3 linked regions of the Oryctolagus cuniculus genome follow. The protein of the gene in region 1 binds, or shares a complex with, the protein of each later gene. Links are inferred from orthologs where the notes say so. Each region holds a gene or a part of one and is shown in the gene's direction. Other genes may lie near its edges.

What was found.
Region 2: the proteins of tubulin alpha-1A chain (region 1) and PIERCE1 are in contact, whole or in part, in a cryo-EM structure (PDB 7UNG), measured with the Homo sapiens proteins. The link is inferred for Oryctolagus cuniculus from reciprocal best matches to the Homo sapiens genes TUBA1A and PIERCE1. Residues at the interface, in NP_001257328.1 of Homo sapiens: Met1, Arg2, Gln15, Asn18, Ala19, Glu22, Cys25, Leu26, Glu27, His28, Gly29, Ile30, Gln31, Pro32, Asp33, Met36, Pro37, Asp39, Lys40, Asp46, Asp47, Ser48, Asn50, Glu77, Gly81, Thr82, Tyr83, Tyr224, Thr225, Asn228; in NP_001041730.1 of Homo sapiens: Tyr28, Pro35, Gly36, Arg37, Phe38, Trp43, Phe44, Arg45, Gly46, Tyr47, Arg48, Thr58, Ser59, Asn60, Gln61, Ala62, Tyr63, Gly64, Arg66, His71, Glu72, Pro74, Phe77, Tyr78, Pro79, Asn80, Ser81, Asn82, Lys83.
Region 3: the proteins of tubulin alpha-1A chain (region 1) and CFAP276 are in contact, whole or in part, in a cryo-EM structure (PDB 7UNG), measured with the Homo sapiens proteins. The link is inferred for Oryctolagus cuniculus from reciprocal best matches to the Homo sapiens genes TUBA1A and CFAP276. Residues at the interface, in NP_001257328.1 of Homo sapiens: Lys112, Glu113, Ile115, Asp116, Leu117, Leu119, Asp120, Arg123, Lys124, Asp127, Arg156, Ser158, Val159, Asp160, Gly162, Lys163, Leu195, Glu196, His197, Ser198, Asp199, Tyr262, Pro263, Arg264, Trp346, Lys430, Asp431, Glu434, Val435, Val437; in NP_001231954.1 of Homo sapiens: Pro43, Trp44, Arg46, Leu47, Asn48, Thr50, Pro51, Thr52, Ile53, Thr54, Ser55, Arg57, Arg58, Ala60, Tyr62, Asp64, Ile67, Pro68, Lys69, Asp70, Asp71, Phe74, Arg75, Lys90, Ser91, Leu94, Leu95, Asn96, Lys98, Thr99.

Annotation. Positions count from the first base shown.
Region 1 is NC_091442.1:52,627,449-52,633,919, reverse strand, and holds tubulin alpha-1A chain, read left to right. Parts: upstream 1-2,085; 5' UTR 2,086-2,312; coding exon 2,313-2,315; intron 2,316-2,853; exon of another isoform or gene 2,854-2,960; intron 2,961-4,054; coding exon 4,055-4,277; intron 4,278-4,417; coding exon 4,418-4,566; intron 4,567-4,873; coding exon 4,874-5,854; 3' UTR 5,855-6,064; downstream 6,065-6,471. UniProt on the Homo sapiens protein: Tubulin is the major constituent of microtubules, a cylinder consisting of laterally associated linear protofilaments composed of alpha- and beta-tubulin heterodimers.
Region 2 is NC_091432.1:236,424,678-236,431,268, reverse strand, and holds PIERCE1 (piercer of microtubule wall 1 protein), read left to right. Parts: upstream 1-2,160; 5' UTR 2,161-2,314; coding exon 2,315-2,457; intron 2,458-3,032; coding exon 3,033-3,111; intron 3,112-5,907; coding exon 5,908-6,096; 3' UTR 6,097-6,341; downstream 6,342-6,591. Other genes in the region: MRPS2 (small ribosomal subunit protein uS2m), read right to left, coding at 1-474, 1,293-1,443, 1,712-1,828, 1,945-1,987. UniProt on the Homo sapiens protein: Microtubule inner protein involved in the attachment of outer dynein arms (ODAs) to dynein-decorated doublet microtubules (DMTs) in cilia axoneme, which is required for motile cilia beating.
Region 3 is NC_091438.1:61,320,182-61,326,829, forward strand, and holds the start of CFAP276 (cilia- and flagella-associated protein 276), read left to right. Parts: upstream 1-2,423; 5' UTR 2,424-2,438; coding exon 2,439-2,591; intron 2,592-2,703; exon of another isoform or gene 2,704-2,893; intron 2,894-2,912; coding exon of another isoform or gene 2,913-2,919; exon of another isoform or gene 2,920-3,060; intron 3,061-3,216; exon of another isoform or gene 3,217-3,269; coding exon of another isoform or gene 3,270-3,350; exon of another isoform or gene 3,351-3,467; intron 3,468-5,518; coding exon 5,519-5,635; intron 5,636-6,141; coding exon 6,142-6,248; intron 6,249-6,543; coding exon of another isoform or gene 6,544-6,575; coding exon 6,576-6,648. Other genes in the region: ELAPOR1 (endosome/lysosome-associated apoptosis and autophagy regulator 1), read right to left, coding at 2,001-2,206, 2,913-2,919. UniProt on the Homo sapiens protein: Microtubule inner protein (MIP) part of the dynein-decorated doublet microtubules (DMTs) in cilia axoneme, which is required for motile cilia beating. May play an important role for the maintenance of myelin-axon integrity.

The DNA of each region.
Region 1 (6,471 bases):
TAGGAAGTAAATTAGTAAGAAAAATTTTTTTTTTGCTTTCCATAGTTTGAATGCTTTTAAATCAGATAATGAAGAAACAAAAAGAACAGAGTGGTTATTTTCTCTGATCTCCCGCTTATATATTTAAGATTGTCAAATACACTATTGCTGACCTAGATCTTATTGTTACTTCTGCCCAAGAGGAGGGAGAAAGACCTTCATTTACATAAAGAACAGAATGGCTCTGAGATAGAGTTACAAAGAATCAATACCATGAACCCTCCTCTCTTGTAGTTAAGTCTCTGTAAAACACAAAAAGGACTGAAATTACTGGGGCGATGAAAATTTTCTTAATTTATTTTTTTCTACTGTAAGGAAAATAGAAATTCAAGACTATTGCTCATTCCAAAAAGAAGATTTCTATACTTACTATATACAGTCTAGCAATGTTTGATTTCCTTTGTTATTAAAATGGTTTAAGCATTTTTAATGATCTATTAATCTTTATGCTCTCTAGGCCATTTACTTTTTATCTTTGTTAAACACACTTCTGGGTTCAGAAAGTATTCAAGTCATCCTCAATCCTTCTGTCTCTTTACTGAAATATATTTTATTGGCTAAAAGGATTGCAACAAGGTGATGTTGACTACTTTTACAATGAAATATGCAAGCAGTAGATAAAATGGCTTGTGTGTTAGGCTTCATTTTTTTCTAGAGAACTTACTGCAGCAAATCTGTGCAAGCAAAGCAGAGGTGTGGCTAGCGCAGTCCCACAGCCGCCATTGTCATCCCACAACCTGCAGTGCTGCCCACGCCCTGCTCTGCCCACCAGCCCGCAGCAGTGACTGGGCTCCACAGGGCGCTGTAGTAATGCAGCCCCCGAAAATCAGTTGCTGGAAATTGAAAGGAAAAACAGAAATTTCTATTTTTGATAGTCAAACAAATCTCTTTACCTCTGAAATGTCATCCACAATGGCAAGAGGTGCACAGCCCGGAGACCTATTTTGCATAGCCCATCCTTGATGAGAATGGAGCCGTTCCGAGCAGCAAACCATTTCCTAGGGGGGAAAGCAAAGCCTTTTTTGTCCCCAAGAGGCCTCTGGGCAGCCACCAGTCTCCAGCTGAATAGCAGCGGTGTGAGGCCGGCTAAGGTTCCCACAGTTAGGAGGGTGTGGACCCCATTCTTATAAGCACTATATAAAAATGGACTGCGGTTGAACTGAGACTGCAGAGTTGCCTGCAGATGGAGGCAACAATACAAAGTGGTCCTCTTTTTGCATCCTACATCTTTCTTGTCTTCTTTTTAATTTAGTGTTTTGGTTACTCTTTTTTGTTTGTAACTTTCCCAAAAGGCGAGCAATGCAGAAATATAATTGCACACACAAGGGATACCGGTTTCTGCAGTCAATTCTTTCTCCTTGTGTTTTCCCAATTCTGTATTGGGAACGATGATTCATTTCTACATCTCACAAAATATATTACAGAGTCTTTTGGCAAATGAGTATCTCTCATCAGCTAACCCTCATGTGTCCATTAGCTCTCACCGACTGCAATGCTAGAACCTTTTGTGTTCTTTTATGCGGTATGGCTATGCCTCCCATCACCCATTTTGTTGAGCTATTTGGGTGTCTGTGCCCAAAAGAAGATATGAAAATACATTAATTGAACCTGCAGAGCCTTTTTTTTTTTTTTTTGGATGACTGTATTACCGGGTCCTTTTCTAATTAAAATAAGAGAGAAAGGGAAAGCATATTTACTCAAACCATTTTGAGTATCGCTCCCGTCTTTCCCACTTTATTTTTAAAGCAATTCGAGATGCTGGTTCGTAACCAAATGTAGCTTAGTGTACTGTCAGGGGGCGATTCTTCACGAAGATTCCATCTCAACACAAATGCTACGATTGAAACCGTACCTAGGTGATTTTAGCTGCAGGTTGAGACTGAAGCGATAGAAAATGATCTAGCCGCAGTCCTCTTTCTTCCCTTCCGCCCCTCCCGAGAGCCCCACCCCGTAATGGATGCTGGGCTGCCGGCTTTGGCTCGGTCTCTTTGTCTGAAGGATGCAGTCTATGGATACTGGGGGAAAACGGGTGGGGGAGCGATTACCTCATCCCATGTCGCCTGCACCAATCAGCACTCTTCTGCCGCGGCTTCTCCGGGCAGAGAGAGGGGTCTGGACCAACAGGAAGAGGCCCCGGCCCATCCCCATGGCGACCGGGCTGTATATAGGCGGCCGCCACCGCCCGAGCCGCAGGTTCTCTTACATCGACCGCCTAAGAGTCGCGCTGTAAGAAGCAGCAGCCTCCCTCTCGGCCTCCGCGCGCAGCAGCAACCATGGTAAGCGCCGGCCCCCCAGGCGGCCCGGGGAGCCCTTTGTAGCCTTTTTTGTCCAGGGTGGCTTTGTTTGCTTTCGGTCCCTACGCCCTGCCGCTGCCGCAGTGCGGAGCCAGGGCCCGGCCGGGACGAACAAAGGCGACGCCAGGGAGTGTTTGTCGCCGAGGACTCCCCGGGGCCGCAGCTGCCCCTCCGGCGGGGCGGGAGGGTCCGCAGCCGGGCGGGGCGTGCGCTCCGCGCTCGTGGGGCTCCCCGGGGACCTGCAGCCCGGGGGCGCTGGGTGTAGCTGGGCGCGGAGAGGAGGACGGGAACCGAGGGAAGCCTCGGGTTGGCGCAAGACCCTTGCGTTCTAGAGAGACAGCCGTCTACTAGCGGCTGGGGCCGGGGCGGCGCAGGGGCGGGGTTGTTTGTTTCTGGCTTCCCCGGTGTTGGAGCCGCCGGACCGGGTTCGCCCTCGCTCAGCCTCCGCGGTCACGGGGAAGCCTTGAATAAAAGCCTTGCATCACCGCGGAACTGAAGACTTCAAAAGGGTTTTCATTACCTGCTAAAGCTCAGATGAAAAAAAATTGTTTTCTCGAGGCCCAGAATCCCAATTCACAAGCCCTTTAAAGTCTGGTCCAGCGTGGCCACGCCCTTGAGGGCTGCGGGGCCGGGCTGTGGGGGGGCGCAGGGTCCGCCCTGGGTGCCTGCTGGGCTGCGGTCGGGAACGCCTGCCCCGCCCCCGCCCCAGGGAGCAGACAATGAAAATTGCAGCCCTAAAAGTGACAATCTCTGTGGGATGAGGAGTAAGAATTTTATGTGGTGGGTAAAGAATTTCAGAAAGAAAACACTTTTTTGTTGCTTTAAATACATATTTCACTGTCCTTTCACTGGGCTTTTGTTCTTTGCTAGCTTCTCATATAACATTTCTTCCTAACTCGCAAACTGTTGTTTCAAAAATACTAACAATTTTTCAGTTTTTTACAGTGGAGGCGATTCTGTAAAAACTTAAAGTAACACAATTGCTGCAGACAAAGAATTACATTCTGCTCTCCAGCCGTCTTTTGTTCTAGGGTGTCTTCATTAATTCATTTCGATTCAGGAGCATGGTCCCAGGCTGGGTCAGGGGAAGAACTAGCAAAACAGCACAATGAGATCATATAGGCAGTTGCTGGAAATAGAGCTTGCTCTGTTAAATAATGTAGCAGACAGTACAGGCTAGCGCCAGGCACAGCAAATAACGGCAGTGCAGCAATGCAGAGGCAGACTTTTGTCTAGCTTCTAATAACTCCTAGTATTGATGGATCCTGCAGGCAGACTGCAGAAGGGTGTGGCTTGCAGCTGCAGTACAGATGCCTCTTGGAATCCTAAGTCCTCTGCAGAAGAAACTAATCTCCAGTTAAAGGGGGAAAAAAGCAGTAAAATGAATTCCAATCCATGATTGGATTGAATTTAATTTACTTCATTTTACAAAATCTGTGCTTTGAAGCCATAAAAAAATCTTCCATTCAAGCATGGCTCTGTGAACAATGGGCTTGCACCATGTGCTAAACTGTGCCAAGGCGACATTATTATTCAGACCACACCCATCTGCAGTATTTGTAGCAGGTGCTTTTCTTTCATCGTTTCTATCATATTAGGGATAAAACTGCAAATAAATTTGAGGAAGATCTAATTACTAGAAATACTTTTAGAAATTTGCTGAAAATTCAAAATGCTAATACAAAATAATTTATATATATTTTTCTCTTTCCCTCACACAGCGTGAGTGCATCTCCATCCACGTCGGCCAGGCTGGTGTCCAGATCGGCAATGCCTGCTGGGAGCTCTACTGCCTGGAACACGGCATCCAGCCCGATGGCCAGATGCCAAGTGACAAGACCATTGGGGGAGGAGACGACTCCTTCAACACCTTCTTCAGTGAGACGGGCGCTGGCAAGCACGTGCCCAGGGCCGTGTTTGTAGACCTGGAGCCTACGGTCATTGGTGAGTTGGCCTCCGTGGCCTCAGTGAGAGCCCCGGGTGCTGGGACAGGTCTGGGACAATTCTGTGAGGGGGGAGCCACTGGCACCCCGGGGCCCTGCAGGCTGTCAGTGACAGGTGGCTGGTCTGCTTCCCTCTTCCAGATGAAGTTCGCACCGGCACCTACCGCCAGCTCTTCCACCCCGAGCAGCTCATCACAGGCAAGGAAGATGCTGCCAATAACTATGCCCGCGGGCACTACACCATTGGCAAGGAGATCATTGACCTCGTCCTGGACCGAATTCGCAAGCTGGTATGTTTCCTCTCAACAATAAAGTACATTAGTAAGTTAAGGGATGCTGTTTGGTTGAAACAGAATTGAAATTGAAAAAAGGTTTTTAAAAATTCAATTAAAACATGAACTATCTGATATCATTTTGTAAATACTGAGAATTTTTAAATGAAGAAATGTTGAGTAATTCCAAGGTCTTCGCTTTTTAAAAAGCATTTGTTAAAGTAAGATCTAAATTCTTAGAGATGTACGAAAAGTGAGACTATTTACTATGATTGTATCACAGACAACAAAGACTTAATCTTTTCTATTCCTCTCTTTTAAACAGGCTGACCAGTGCACGGGCCTGCAGGGCTTCTTGGTTTTCCACAGCTTTGGTGGGGGAACTGGTTCTGGGTTCACCTCCCTGCTGATGGAACGCCTCTCTGTCGATTACGGCAAGAAGTCCAAGCTGGAGTTCTCCATCTACCCAGCCCCCCAGGTTTCCACAGCTGTGGTGGAGCCCTACAACTCCATCCTCACCACCCACACCACCCTGGAGCACTCTGATTGTGCCTTCATGGTAGACAACGAGGCCATCTATGACATCTGTCGTAGAAACCTCGATATCGAGCGCCCCACCTACACTAACCTGAATAGGTTGATAGGTCAAATTGTATCCTCTATCACAGCTTCCCTGCGGTTTGACGGAGCCCTGAATGTTGATCTAACAGAATTCCAGACCAACCTGGTGCCCTACCCCCGCATCCACTTCCCTCTGGCCACATACGCCCCCGTCATCTCTGCTGAGAAAGCCTACCACGAGCAGCTTTCTGTAGCAGAGATCACCAATGCCTGCTTTGAGCCGGCCAACCAGATGGTGAAATGTGACCCTCGCCACGGTAAATACATGGCTTGCTGCCTGCTGTACCGTGGCGACGTGGTTCCCAAAGATGTCAATGCTGCCATTGCTACCATCAAGACCAAACGTACCATCCAGTTTGTGGATTGGTGCCCCACTGGCTTCAAGGTTGGCATTAACTACCAGCCTCCCACGGTGGTGCCTGGTGGAGACCTGGCCAAGGTGCAGCGAGCTGTGTGCATGCTGAGCAACACCACAGCCATTGCTGAGGCCTGGGCTCGCCTGGACCACAAGTTTGACCTGATGTATGCCAAGCGTGCCTTTGTTCACTGGTACGTGGGGGAGGGCATGGAGGAGGGAGAGTTTTCTGAAGCTCGTGAGGACATGGCTGCCCTGGAGAAGGATTACGAGGAGGTTGGTGTGGATTCTGTTGAAGGTGAGGGTGAGGAGGAAGGAGAGGAATACTAAAAATGTCGCAAAGGTGCTGCTTTTACAGGGAAGCTTTTTCTGTTTCAAACAGTGGAAATTTGGGGTCTGATCAGTTAATTTGTATGTAGCAGCATATGCTCTCATATACAATTACTGAGTTATGCTTTGAAACATGAATGCTTTGTCGGGGACCCAAGCGGTTCATTTCTCTGATGGGTTTTGAATAAAGTATTCCCTGTCTTAAATAAATTCAGTGTTGTGTTTTTTATTCGAGTGTCTGGAAACTTCTATATATTCAGTACATTAAGAATTACCATTGCCTGTGGTCCATACACAAACTATTAAATGACTTTAGATTATCTTAGTGTTTTACATTTATTTTAAAAATAAAATGTGAACTCCAGTATTTTGGTTAAGCTGCTGCTTGCAATGCTGGCATCCTATCTGTGCTGCTTCCAATCCAGCTTCCTGCTAATGCATTTGGGAAGGCAGTGGATGATGAGGGTCAAGTGCTTATGCCACTGCCACCTGTGTGGGAGATCTAGATGGGAGTTCCTGGCTCCTGGCTGTTGTAGTGTTTGAGGAGTGAACCAGTGGATGGATTTCTCATCTTTCCTATCTATCTGTCACTCTACCTTTCAAATCAAGAGATCTTT
Region 2 (6,591 bases), on another chromosome or scaffold:
CTGACGGCGAGCCGGAAGAGGCGGCAGAAGAGCTGCACGGCGGCCGGGGAGTCGTCGTTGCCGGGCACGGGGTAGGTGAGGAGGCACGGGTTGCAGTTGGTGTCCACCACGCCCACCGTGGGGATGTTCATCTTGGCCGCGTCCCTCACGGCCACGTGCGGCTCGAACACGTTGTTGAGCGTGTGCAGGAAGATGAGCAGGTCGGGCAGGCGCACGGCGGGGCCGAACAGGAGGCCGGCGTTGGTCAGCAGGCCGCCCTTGAAGTAGCGCGTGTGCGCGTACTCGCCGCAGGCGCGCGCCGTGCTCTCCACCAGGTGCGAGAACTGCCGGCTGCGGCTCACGAACAGGATGACGCCCCCGCGGTAGGCCATGTGCGCCGTGAAGTTGAGGGCCAGCTGCAGGTGCGCGGCCGTCTGCTCCAGGTCGATGATGTCCTGGTTCAGCCGGCTCCCGAAGATGTAGGGTTCCATGAACCTGCGGCGGGCGGAGGCTCAGCCGGCGGGCCCCGCCCCACCCCCGCCCCCGGCACGCCCCCGACTCGGCCCGGCCCCGCCACGCCCCCTCGTAAACGCGGGAGACCTTCCAGCTGGCCCCGCCCTGACTCGGCCCGGCCCCGCCCCCGCCACGCCCCCTCGTAAACGCGGGAGACCTTCCAGCTGGCCCCGCCCCGACTCGGCCCGGCCCCGCCCCCGCCACGCCCCCTCATCAACGCGGGATACCTTCCACCTGGGCCCCCCCTCGGCCCGGCCCCGCCCCGACTCGGCGCGGCCCCGCCCCCTCGTAAACGCGGGAGACCTTCCAGCTGGCCCCCCCCCTCAGCCCGGCGGGCCCCGCCCCCGGCACGCCCCCGACTCGGCCCGGCCCCGCCCCCTCATCTAAACGCCCGAGGCCTTCCAGGTCTGGCCACGCCTCCCAGGAGCCCGAATCCTGTCCGGGTCTCCCACTCGGGCGCCTGCCTCCCGTGTCCCAGTGGGGGCTTCACCTGCCCCCCCCCCCCGCCCCGGCCGCCACTTCCGTCCCCCCCGCTCATCTCCAGATGCCCTGGACAAGGCTCGTCCAGGGGTGGGGCTGAGGCGTGTCCACGCCCCCCTCCCTGCGCACTGCTCAGCAAACCCCACCGCGCCCCTCCCCCGCGCCTCCTGGGCTCGACCCGGCCACCCCCTCCCCGGTGGGCTGCTGGGACCCCACCTCCACCCCGCTCGCGGCTGCCCCACGCTTCCCCTCACCCTCCACCGTCCTGCCTGGAGCCCCGCCCCCAGCCGGCGCCCAGCGGGGGCCCCGCGCCCACCCACCTGTGCCGACAGCCGGCTTTGTGGCCCAGGTGCACGCGGGCCTCGAACAGGCTCCTCACGGAGAAGAGCTCCCGCACGTTGAAGAAGTCGGCGTGCTTGAGCGGCTCCCGGAGGACCTGCTCGCGGACGTCCGGGGCCAGGCCACCGACACCTGCGCACGCAGACCCCGGACTCGCCCACGCGCGCCTCCGGCACCGCCACCCCGCGCCCCGGGGTCTCCGGCCGCAGGCGGGGAAGCTGCGGGGGCCCACCCCGGAGGTCCGAGTCCTGGACTCCGAGGTCCGTCACTGGGGCCCCCCCCCCCCGGACCAAGCCCCTCCCCGCCCGCGACCCCCAGAGGCCGCGGGCGCCCCGGGGTGGGGGTCCCGCTGGGCGGAGGTGCCCGAGGCCCCCGCCCCGCCCGCGCCCCGGGCCGTTACCGCAGTGGTCCTCGCACTCGCTGACGGCCGGGGCCGGGCCGCTGCCCAGCGTCCTGCAGCCGGGCCGGACGGGGCCGCGCGCCACCGTCGCGCAGAGCTGGGGCCGGCGCCAGGCACCTGCGGGAGCAAGCACGCGTGACTGCGGGGCCGCTCGCCCCCCGCCCACCCGGCCCGCCCCGGCCCCGGCCCCGGCCCGCCCCGGCCCCGGCCCCGGCCCCAGCCCCGGCCCTCACCCGCGCACAGCAGGCGCGACAGCGTGGCCGCGGCGGGCGCCATGACGGCCGGACGCGGAGACTGCGCTGCCCCCGGCGGGCAGAGCGGCCGCTGCGCGCGCGGCGACAGCGCCCCCTGCAGGCCCGGAGGAGCCGCGGCGCCAAGTGCGCGGGTGCCGGACGGAGCGCAGACTCGGGCCGGGGCGGGGGCTGAGCCGCGCGGACGCGCGCAGTCCGCAGCCGGGGCGCGCACCCCTCGGGCGCCTTGCGGAGGAAGTCCCGGGACCCCTCCCCCCGCGCGTGCGCGCTGCCCCTCTACGGGCGCGTGGCCGGCCGTCGCTTAGCTACGGGACGCGCCCCGGGGACCCCGGCCAGTTCCCGCGGAGCAGCCATGTCCCAGGAGGAGCCCCCCGCGTGCGTGGGCGAAGCCGAGCCCCGGGCCCCCGCGGCCCCCGAGAAGACCAGCGACTACTACTGCGTGAGCGAGTGCCTGCCGCGGAGGTTCAACCACCCGGGGTGGTTCCGTGGCTACAGGTGAGGGGCGGGGGCGCCAGGGGCCGGTGGGCACGGAGCCCGCCCGAGGTCAGGGTCCCTGCGCACACCGAGCTCCGGCTCCTGCGCTGCCCATGTAGCTCCCCGCGGGTGCGCGCCCCAGGGGGAGCTCCTGGCTCCTGGCTGTGGCCTGGCCCAGCCCGGCCGCGCGGGTTTGGGGAGTGACCCAGCGGATGGAAGCTGTCCCTCTCCCTCTCTCTGCTTTCGAATAAAATGAAAGCGTTAAGAGAAAACCGACACGCAGTCCGGCTCCCCAGCCCCTGGGTCATGGTGCGCTGGGGGAGGCCCAGCAGGGCCCAGCACTGAGAAGTGACCGGAAGCCCCTGCGTGTGGACGCCGGCCAGTGCCCCTCCTGGAGTGTGTGTCCCCAGCTCGCGCTGGCCGGCGGCGGCGGTGGTGGTGGGTGTCCCAGCGGCCACAGGCTGTCCCAGGGGCTGGCGGCATGGGGCCTGGAGGCTGAGCGCCGGCCCCAGTCCTTGCCGGGGGAGGGCGGGAGGCCGGCCGGGGCGGTCAGCCTCGCGGAAGACGGGCGGACAGCGAGCGTGTGTCACCCCCAGGAGCGCGCAGGCGGCCTCCATGTACAGGACCAGCAACCAGGTGTACGGGAGCAGAGCGCCCACGGTGCACGAGATGCCTGTAAGGGGCCGGGCGGGTCGGGGGTGGGGCCCTGGGGTCCCCCCGGGAGGGCAGGGCAGGGAGGAGCAGGTGGGCGCCAGCCCAAGGGAGTGGCGCACGCCTGCCGCGGGGCCCACGCGGTCAGCTGAGCGCCCGTGGGCTGGAGGCCGCCGTCTGTCTAGAACCCCACTTTGCTTCCTGAGCTGTGGGCTGGGACCCCAGGAAAGGAGCCCCGCTCCCCCGTGTGCAGGGACACATCCTCCCGAGGCGGGAGCCCACAGGTGCGTGGGCGGGCACGGGGCCCAGCCCCTCCCCCAGTCTGACCTGCCTCCCTGGGTGCCCCGCCCACACCCCCACGAGGACCCCTGGTGTGTAGTGGGGATGCGGCCCCGCCCCAGTCACACGTGGGATCTGGGGGCCGTATGTGGGGCTTGCCTGAGGAGGCCCTAGCTTCTCCGGGAACTCTCTGGAGCCTGTTGGAGGCGCGGGCCCAGCGCCAGGCAGCCGCGGCTTTTCCCGGGGAGCAGGTGCACAGTGCGGGGTCAGAGCCGGGTCTGCTCTGGCCGAGCCAGGCACGGAGCAGGTGCGCGGCGCGGGGTGGGAGGAGCCCGGTGTGGAGCAGGTGCACGGCGCGGGGTGGGAAGAGCCGGGAGCGCGGGGTGGGAGGAGCCCGGTGTGGAGCAGGTGCGCGGCGCGGGGTGGGAGGAGCCGGGAGCGCGGGGTGGGAGGAGCCCGGCGTGGAGCAGGTGCGCAGTGCGGGGTGGGAGGAGCCGGGAGCGCGGGGTGGGAGGAGCCCGGTGAGGAGCAGGTGCACAGTGCGGGGTGGGAGGAGCCCGGTGTGGAGCAGGTGCGCGGGGCGGGGTGGGAGGAGCCCGGTGAGGAGCAGGTGCGCAGCGCGGGGTGGGAGGAGCCCGGTGAGGAGCAGGTGCACAGTGCGGGGTGGGAGGAGCCGGGAGCGCGGGGTGGGAGGAGCCCGGTGTGGAGCAGGTGCGCGGGGCGGGGTGGGAGGAGCCGGGTCTGCTCTCGCCCAGCCCGGCGCAGAGCAAGTGCACAGTGCGGGGTCAGAGCCAGGACTGCTCTCGCCGAGCCGGCCCTGCGCTCCTGGGCCCGGTGTGGAGCTGTTGGCCTCACCTCGCGTGGGGTTCGCGGGCGGCTTTGTGTTTGGCGGTGGTTCTGCTGCTCTGCCCCCGGGGGTGCCTGTTGGGGTGCACTTGCCAGAGCCCACAGGATCCGGCAGGGAGAGCCCGCGGGGCGCCTGTGACCTCAGTCTGATGAAGGGTCAGCCACACAGGACGCACGGTGCTGACGACGGGGCAGCTCTGTGTGTGTCTGTATGTGTGCCTCTGTGTCTCTGATGTGGGTGTGCCTGTGTGTGAGCCTGTGCGTGTGTGTGGGTGTGCCTATGTGTGTGTCTGTGTGTATTTGTGTATGTTTCTGTATCTGAGTGTGCCTGTGTGTCTGTGTGGCTCTGTTTCTGTGTGTCTCTGTGTTCGTGTGTGTAGGTGTGTATTTGTGTGTGTCTCTGTATCTGGGTGTGCCTGTGCCTGTGTGTGTGTCTCTGTATGTCTGTGTGTCTCTCTGTGTATGTCTCTGTGTGCCTGTGTGTGTGTCTGTCTGTTTGTGTGTGTCTCTGTATCTGGGTGTGCCTGTGTCTCTGTATCTGGGTGAGCCTGTGTCTGTGTGTGTTGTGTGTATCTATGTGTCCATGCGTGTGTGTCTGTGAGTCTGTGTCTCTGTGTGTGTGTGTGTCTGTGTGTGTCTCTGTATCTGGGTGTGCCTGTGTGTGTATCTATGTCTGTGTGTGTCTCTGTGTGCCTGTGTGTGTGTCTGTGTGTCTGTATGTGTCTCTGTATGTCTCTCTGTGTGTGTGTATTTGTGTGTGTCTCTGTATCTGGGTGTGCCTGTGTCTGCCTGGGTGTGTGTCTCTGTATGTCTGTGTGTGTCTCTGTGTGCCTGGGTGTGTGTCTGTGAGTCTGTGTGTGTCTCTGTATGTCTCTGTGTGTGTGTGTCTCTGTATGTCTCTGTGTGTCTGTGTCTGTGTGTGTCTCTGTATCTGGGTGTGCCTGTGTCTGTGTCTCTGCCTGGGTGTGTCTCTGTGTCTCTGTGTGTGTGTGTCTCTGTAACTGGGTGTGCCTGTCTGTGTCTCTGCCTGGGTGTGTGTCTGTGTGTGTCTCTGCCTGTGTGTCTGTGTCTGTGTGTGTCTCTGTATCTGGGTGTGCCTGTGTCTGTGTCTGCCTGGGTGTGTGTGTGTGTGTCTCTGCCTGTGTGTGTCTCTGTGTCTCTGTGTGTGTGTGTGTGTCTCTGTAACTGGGTGTGCCTGTCTGTGTCTGCCTGGGTGTGTGTCTGTGTGTGTCTCTGCCTGTGTGTGTCTCTGTGTCTCTGTGTGTGTGTGTGTGTCTCTGTAATTGGTGTGCCTGTCTGTGTCTGCCTGGGTGTGTGTCTGTGTGTGTCTCTGTATGTCTCTGTGTGTGTGTGTCTCTGTATGTCTGTGTGTGTCTCTGTATCTGGGCGTGTGTCTGTGGGTGAACTTCCTGCCCGAGGTTTCTGTAATCTAGGACCTCTCTGGAGTGAAATCCGAGCGCTGCCGGACGCCGTGTCCCCGGCACCTGCTCCCCACAGGAGCTGCGCCCGCCAGCGAGGGGCGAGGGGCCGGGCTCCGCCTGTCGGGGAGGCGCAGGCCGCCCCCTGCCGCTGGGCGCGGGAACCTCGTTGCAGCTCCTCGGCTTGGCCTGCGCAGTCGCGGGCCCGGCAGCTCCTCGGCTTGGCCTGCGCAGTCGCGGGCCTCGCCGCCCCACACCGGGCCCCTCTGCCTTGCAGAAAGTCTTCTATCCGTATTCCAGCAAGTTTTCCCGGGAGTTCGCGGTGGGCGGGATGTTCCAGAGCAGCGCTTTCAACGTGGGCCTGGAGAAGAGCCTGGTGACCGGGCCCGGCAGCCACGTGACCGCCTGTGACCGCCGCGACTTCCACCCCAGCTACAACGCCAGCCGGCCGTCCATCTGCGACTGAGGCCGGCCGGCCGGCACCCGCTGCTTCTCCCCTGAAGGGTCTTTGGTCCCCGGGATGGAGGGGTGTCCAGATGGGGCCGGGACGCCCTGCGCCGGCCGGCCGGCGCCGAGACATGCGGGCACGGTGCTCGGATAGTTTGCGTAGGCATTAAACATGTTGCCGTCCCTGCCTTGTGTGACCTCCGTGACCCTGGCGTCTGGGAACCAACACGCTGGGAGTGGACCACGCAGCCCCCGCCTGAGCTCTGCTGGGGTCCGCACTCACTCACGGAGGGAGGGAGGGGACCGCTACCCTCAGAGCGTCCTCGGCGCCCCCCGGCCGGCGCCCCGGTGCCCCGGTGCCCTGTGCTTCCTGGAAGATGGCAGTGGAAAGTGAAGAAGGCAGGCGGTGGGGGGTTGACCTCCAGTGCGTCCTGGGTCAGTGTCCACTGTGGGTGCTGGGTCCTCCGTGGGGAAAACCCTGCCCTGACGGACGCACCTTCTGGAGCTGGGAACC
Region 3 (6,648 bases), on another chromosome or scaffold:
ATAAAGGGCTTATTCTCTTCCTTATTGTTCTGGAGGCAGGGTGCTCAGCGGCCACTGTTTGCTCAAGGAGAGAGTCAACAGGACTTGCTGACGCCCATGGCCAGTAAGCCCGCCTCTCAGCCACTTGCAACCTGGTGTGGGATGTGGATCTAATGGGAAAGAAGCTGAGTAGGGAAGGGGTTAGGAACTCCATGGCATGTGCTGTGTGCATTTTCCCTCCCAGTCCTCAAAGAATCATTTCTGAAGTGACTGTTACTGTAATCCTGATCCAGAAATGGTAGCGTCCCTATAGGACTAGAACCCTCATTATGTCAAGTGCCACAGCTTCCCACAGCTCGAAGCTCAGAGTTCATGGAAGACTTTTTGTCAAGCAAATATTAGTCATGGAAATAGCACTAAAAAGCAAAATGTGAGTCCTCAAGTACCAATCTTCTTCCCTCCCTTGAAGGGTTTAATTCCTTAAATGTGTTATGTTTCCAATAGCGGACAAAGATCTCAACGAGAAGTGGTAGTTGCTGTTTGAGAGTCTTAGATCCACTCAGGAGAACCCATGTTTGATTCTTAGGGAGGTGGACTTGCACGAACTCATTATTTTCACTGGTTAAACCACAGGCTACCAAAGCACTGTGTCGCGGGCACATGGACAAAATTATTCTGTTCCCAATCATCCTTAAAACATGCCATAAAGTGGCTGGGTGAGAGCAAAGACAGCCCAGGGCAGGTCAGCGTAAGGACTAACCACACTGAGCAAAAGTTTCACTGACTGGGGTAATTTATGTCATATTTAGGAATCTTTGAAGTGAAAGATCTTTATTTACAGGCCCCCTCCCCCCTTTTGCCATGATCTGTTATGTTGTAGACAGTTTACTGCTTCGCATATATTGATAATAATACATCTCCATATGGGATGGGGTTGCCATTGCTAACCAGTTAACACATGGCTTATAAAAACCATTATAACCTCTCAACACTTTAGCCAAGTCTGACACTTGGGATTATCTTCACGGTGCTTGACTCTTGACAAACTGAAGGCTTTTAATCTTACAGAGATAATAGAACTTTTATTTTGCCTTCTTCAACGTAGTTCGTATAAATATATTATTGCTGTTGCTGCCATATGGTTTAAAAAAAGTTGTTCAGTGCACGACCATATACTGATATCTCAATGATATGAAAACTACTTGGTTTTGTTCCTCTCCATACCTTTTTGTGTCTCTCCAAAACGAATTTTCATAAGGCATATTTGGTTGGAAGACACACACTACCTAGTGCCTGAATGATGTTGCCAACATTTTTAAACACGTTGAAAAAGACTCAGTGCATATGTTAGCAGAAGTCCAGAGAAGGAGAGTAAAGCCTGGGAGAGAATTAGATCGTTGGGACCTCAACATCTGGACAGAGTGTACTGAGGGGTATCAAGCAATAAACGGGATCCACACTTGTAGCCTGCAAGGTAACTGGACGTTTAAACCGAGGAAAGAGAGACTTAATGGGCTCCTACAGCCGCTCTCGCACCCTCACACACCGCCGACTGAAGTCATCATGAGAGCACAAGCGTTCCGACATCAGTCCACTACTTTTTCTGGACCTTCTTTACTTCTTTCTGATCTCATTGTCCCCCATCCCCTCCCCTTCCCTTCCCTTCCCTCTTTCTCGTTTGCCTCTCTTTATATAATCTTTTGCTTTTTAACCACTTTTAAGGAGATTTCGCCCCCAACCAGAACACAACTCACAGTCTTCTTCCTCTCTAGTTCCGAGTCCGGAGACCCAGCTCTCGCCTCTCCCCGGGGCTGGGCCGGTTCTCGCTGGGCTCAGCAGCCCACGCCACGAGGATCATCTATTTCGTGAGTCCCGGCCCTGATGCCGGGCCGCTGCTCTTCCCTCCCCTCGACGCCTCAGCCCCAAAGACACCTAAACTCCACGGCCTCTAGAGCTGGGCGCGACTGGCTCCCCCAAGGTCTCCGGCTGGTCGCAGGGTCGCGTCGGCAGGTGGACAGTACCTCTTTGCAGGCGTGAAGCTCCGGTCCGGTTCCCTGGGTCACCTGGAAGGCGGTCCCAGCCCAGAGCAGCAGCCGCAGAAGCCGGAGTGCGCGCCTCTCAACCTTCCCCCTGCCCCGGGCGGAGAGACAGCGGCGGTGCCCGGGCTCAGCCATAGCGTAGTCCTGAGAGAGCGGCTGTAGCGGCTCAGGTGGTGCGGCTGCTGTTTCTGCTGGCAGAAGGCAAGGGGAAAAAAAAAAAAGAGGGAGGTTCACAGGGGGAGGATGCAAGGGGCCGGGCTCACTCCAGTCACCTCCCTGTGGCGCCAAGGCCGCCCATCCTTCCTCCTCCCTCCGACTCCTCTCCTCCTACCCACGTCGCCTTGACAACCGCATCCTCGTTCACTGGGCGCGGGTGGGGCGGGGACCACGAGCGCCTCAGCCGCTCACCTGCCGGTCGCCATGGCAGCCGCCGCCGCTGGCGCGCGCGGAGCCACACAGTGCGCGCGCCCGGGACGTGCAATCTGCCCCAGAGGCCGGCCCAGGGCCGCGCGAAAACCGCGACCGGACATTTCTCCAGGCCATGCCCAGCCAATCCGCCGGACAGGGACTATGGTGAGCCCCCTCTGATTTTGCAAAGGTGGAGTGTGGGCCCGTAGGAAAAAGCCCGAGATACCGTCTCTGGCCCACAGACACCATCGCCCACCGGTGTGGCCCCGGTACGTACCACCTGCATCCCGCCAAGTCCATCCGTGCTCTTACAGGCGGCTCTGTGAGAAGCCCTGGGATTCGTGTCGTTAAGCCGAGCTTAAGCAAGGAGAATTCGCCCTAGCCGGCAGTACCTCCGAACGCTACACGTGTTTTGACATCCTCACTGGCTCCTTCCCTTGAATATAGGGAAGACTTTTGTTAGGTGCGAGAAAAAAGGAAACGTACGGGTCATTTTTTTCTTTTAGGACTTCTCTCCTCGACTGCAGACTTTTGCAGAAATCCTGGAGGGTGAGAGGCTGGCGTTTCTTCAACTGGGGCTCAGAAGAGCACGTTCAGGGCTTCCTGGCGCGCGCAACGCCCATTTCCCGCCGCATCCCTGCCTGCTTCCTCCCGAGGGGCATCCCGAGTTGAACCGCCAGGGGGTGCCCTTCTCGAAGGGAATTCGGCTCAGTCATAGATAGCGGGCAGTCGCCTGGCAACCGGAACAAGGTGTTCCAAACAATTGACATCCCGGAGCCTCCGCAGGCAAGGCTGTGCCCCGGCCACCTTGGCCTCCTGTTCCATCTCGCTCGGCAATTAACCATGCCTCCCACTCGAGACCCTTTCCAGCACCCTATGCCAGATAACGACGATTCCTACCTGGGAAAACAGCAGGCTTCCAAGGTACGATGGTTTCTCTTGCAGCTCCCATCAACCTGGCCAAGCCGCCCCGTTTCTGATAGTGCGACTGGCGGAGATGGTAATGGAAAGAACTCTGGTGAGGACACTGAGCCCAGGACCAGAGAAGTCTCTTTTCGGCCTGCCCCCGCGCCCTAGTCCCCATCTTCAAGTTGGTTAAATGTTCACAGGTGCTTTTGAGCAGAGGGAGATAAAGCTCAAAGTATTGATTAGTGTGAGTGATAGGAGGCGCTAGGTTCCATTGAGCCACTCCCTCCGTTTGGAAACTGTCCTCCAAAGATAAAGGAGACACGGAGTGGGAGGGAATCTTGTGAAAGCCACCAGGTCACGTCTTCATGCCCTCTGTCTTTTGGTTAATGCCAGAATGTGTTTGAGTGCGACTGTGATCAGTGATTTGGGTGAACCATCTTTTTTTTTTTTTTTTCTGCTATAAGTGTTTGAAATATTCCAAGTGTTGCAAAATAAGTTGACTTAATCAGTGACTATAGCTTGACAATGTCAAAGATCATTTTATTTATTAAGCATTTATTATTTATTACATTCTGGGCAGTCTGCTGAACACTGATGATACCTAAAGTAGATATAGCTGCTACTCTCAAAGAAGTCAAATAGAAAAGACAACAGCAAGAGTGTTTGCACAATATAGCACCTGGGGGCAGTGAGGAAAAGGAAAGCTTTCTAAAGCAGGTGAGTTTTGACAAGCGTGTTAGCTGGGCCAGGTGAGAGAGGGGTGGAATGTGAGTTAGAAGAAGGAAGTAGGAACCAGACAGTCAAGGCAAAGGAATCAGCAGGTGCATTCAAGGAAAAATGTATGTGTGTGTGTGGTCTCTTTGGAGAACTACACATAGTCCTGAAGGGTTGAAGTCTGGGTGTGAAATGGAAGTGTGGAGACATCAGGGCTGGAGAAGTGGCCTCGGTGGGCTGTGTGCACACTAGTGAGCTAGATTTTCATCCTGGAGTGAGTGACAGAATCAAATGGCAGTAGATGGGACAGAATGGGAGTGGAACAAAAGAGATGAGTGAGAAGGCAGGTGCAGCGAGCTCCAAGAGGAAGGATAATGAATCTAGAGCAGCAACACAGGGATTGGTGATTAATATGCAGATGTGAGAACAAGGCCAAGAGGAGGCCTGATGGGATGTGGTGACTGACGGATATGGGCCCAAGAAACTAGTCCAGCATTAACTCCTAGGCCTCTGAGGGCTTAACTGACCCCACTCACTGAATTGGGACACCTCAGGGATGCAGGTTTGGGGAGAAATACGTTGAGATCAATTGTGTGGATGCTGTTTTTGCAGAGCCCGTGAAACATTTAAGTGACAGTTAAGAGTAGATGACAGTGGGTTGAAGATGTCCTGTCATGCCTGGAAGCTGAAGGATGTGGGCCATCCTCCACTGCTTTCCTAGGCCATAGCAGAGAGCCAGATCAGAAGTGGAGCAGCTGGAACTCGAACCAGTGCCCATATGGGATGCCAGCACTGCAGGCAGAAGCTTCACCTGATACACCACAGCGCCGGCCCCTGGCCTCCACTTTTCTGCCTGTTAATTGCATTTGAAGTCTCATTTGTCCTTCACACTCAGGACATTTAACCTGAGCGCATCAGCTTTCCTATCTGCTCCCCAACCTTCTCCCAACTCTTCCACTCCACTCCTTTCCCTGTATTCCTGGACCATGTCTCTTTTTATTTAATATTTATTTATGTATTTGAAAGTTGGAGTTACAGAGAGGCAGAGAAAGAGAGAGAGAGAGAGAGAATATCTTCTATCTTTGGGCCAGGCTATCCGTGTCTCCCATGTGGGTGGAAAGGGCCCAAGCACTTAGGCCATCTTCTGCTGCTTTCCCAGGTGCATTAGCAAAGAGCTGGATCAGAAGCAGAGCAGTGGGGACTCAAACCAGCACTCACATGGGATGGCAGTGTTGGTGTGGCAGGCGGCAACTTAACCCACTATACCACAACACCAACCCCTTCTATCAGTTCTAAGAAAACGTAAGACGATCAAAAGCCTGGGAGATCCTGCCTCACATCATTCTCTTCACAGACTTTCCTCTGCGAGTCGATTGAAACAGAATGGAATAACGAAATGATGTCACTGAGGCTACCGCATCAGCCAGGTCCCCTGTGACCGGGTCCTGAAGGGGGTTTCTCTTTTGCAGAAACTGCCATACAAGAATCCAACTCATCTGGCTCAGCAACAAGAACCCTGGAGTCGGCTCAACTCCACTCCCACAATTACCTCCATGAGGCGTGATGCCTATTTTTTTGACCCCAAGGTACCTAGCACTGAAATACTTTTCTCTTGACACCCACTTTAGGACTCATTAGTATTCTTTTTGAAAGGAAGTCTGTCTTGACTATGTCTGTATCTCTCCTTTTGTCCCCAACCCAAGATCCTGCCAAATCCAAAACCAAACTAATTTATCTGGCCTCTAGGTCAGAAAGCTTGGATTTTGCTCCATTACCAGGAGCAAATAATTTTAATAGACTTTCCCATGTTTTTCATGAATGTAAGCATGAATGAGGTCAAGTTCAAGGCCAAATCAAGGATATTTCCATGTCCCCAGTGAGTCACCACTCTTTAGACCTGACTGTAATGGAGACAGTTCCATACTGACAAGAGTTCAGAAGTCATGGTTACAATTTGCATGTAACAAAATTGGTGTTCAGTCCCAACAGAGGGGCTTCACTTTCCTTTGGGGACGAGTAGAGCCAACAGCACCTGATGAGAGTGAAGGCACAGGGGGCCAAGTTAACCCTGGGGGATTGACTTTCCCTGTAGACACCAAAGGATGACCTGGACTTCCGCTTAGCAGCCCTGTACAACCACCATACTGGGGCGTTCAAGGACAAAAGTGAGGTACTGTTACACGAGGAGACCATCCACGGGTAAGTGGCAGAGGCAGGGCCTCTTCACCCTTGGGATGCTGCTGTCCAGTCACAGAAGGTAGACTGTCACCTGGGAAGTAACCACCAATGGGTACTCGTTTATATACAAATATCTGTACTTTTTTTACATCTGTGTCTGTAATAGGCATATCCTTATTGTCTGCAATGGATAGAAATCCTCCAAGAGTGTGCTCCTCTGCATAAACAAAATTTCTGGTTAATTCTACAAAGGATAAGGGCCTTCGGCTGCTTTATGATACATGTCTCACGTGGCCACCTTTCCCTCATCTTTCAGTCTCCATTGTTCTTCCCCATACCATCTTCTAGAATCAAGATCCAATTCCCTGGAGAATCTTCACCCCCTCCTCTGCTACCCCCTATCACTTCCCGGGCTAACATC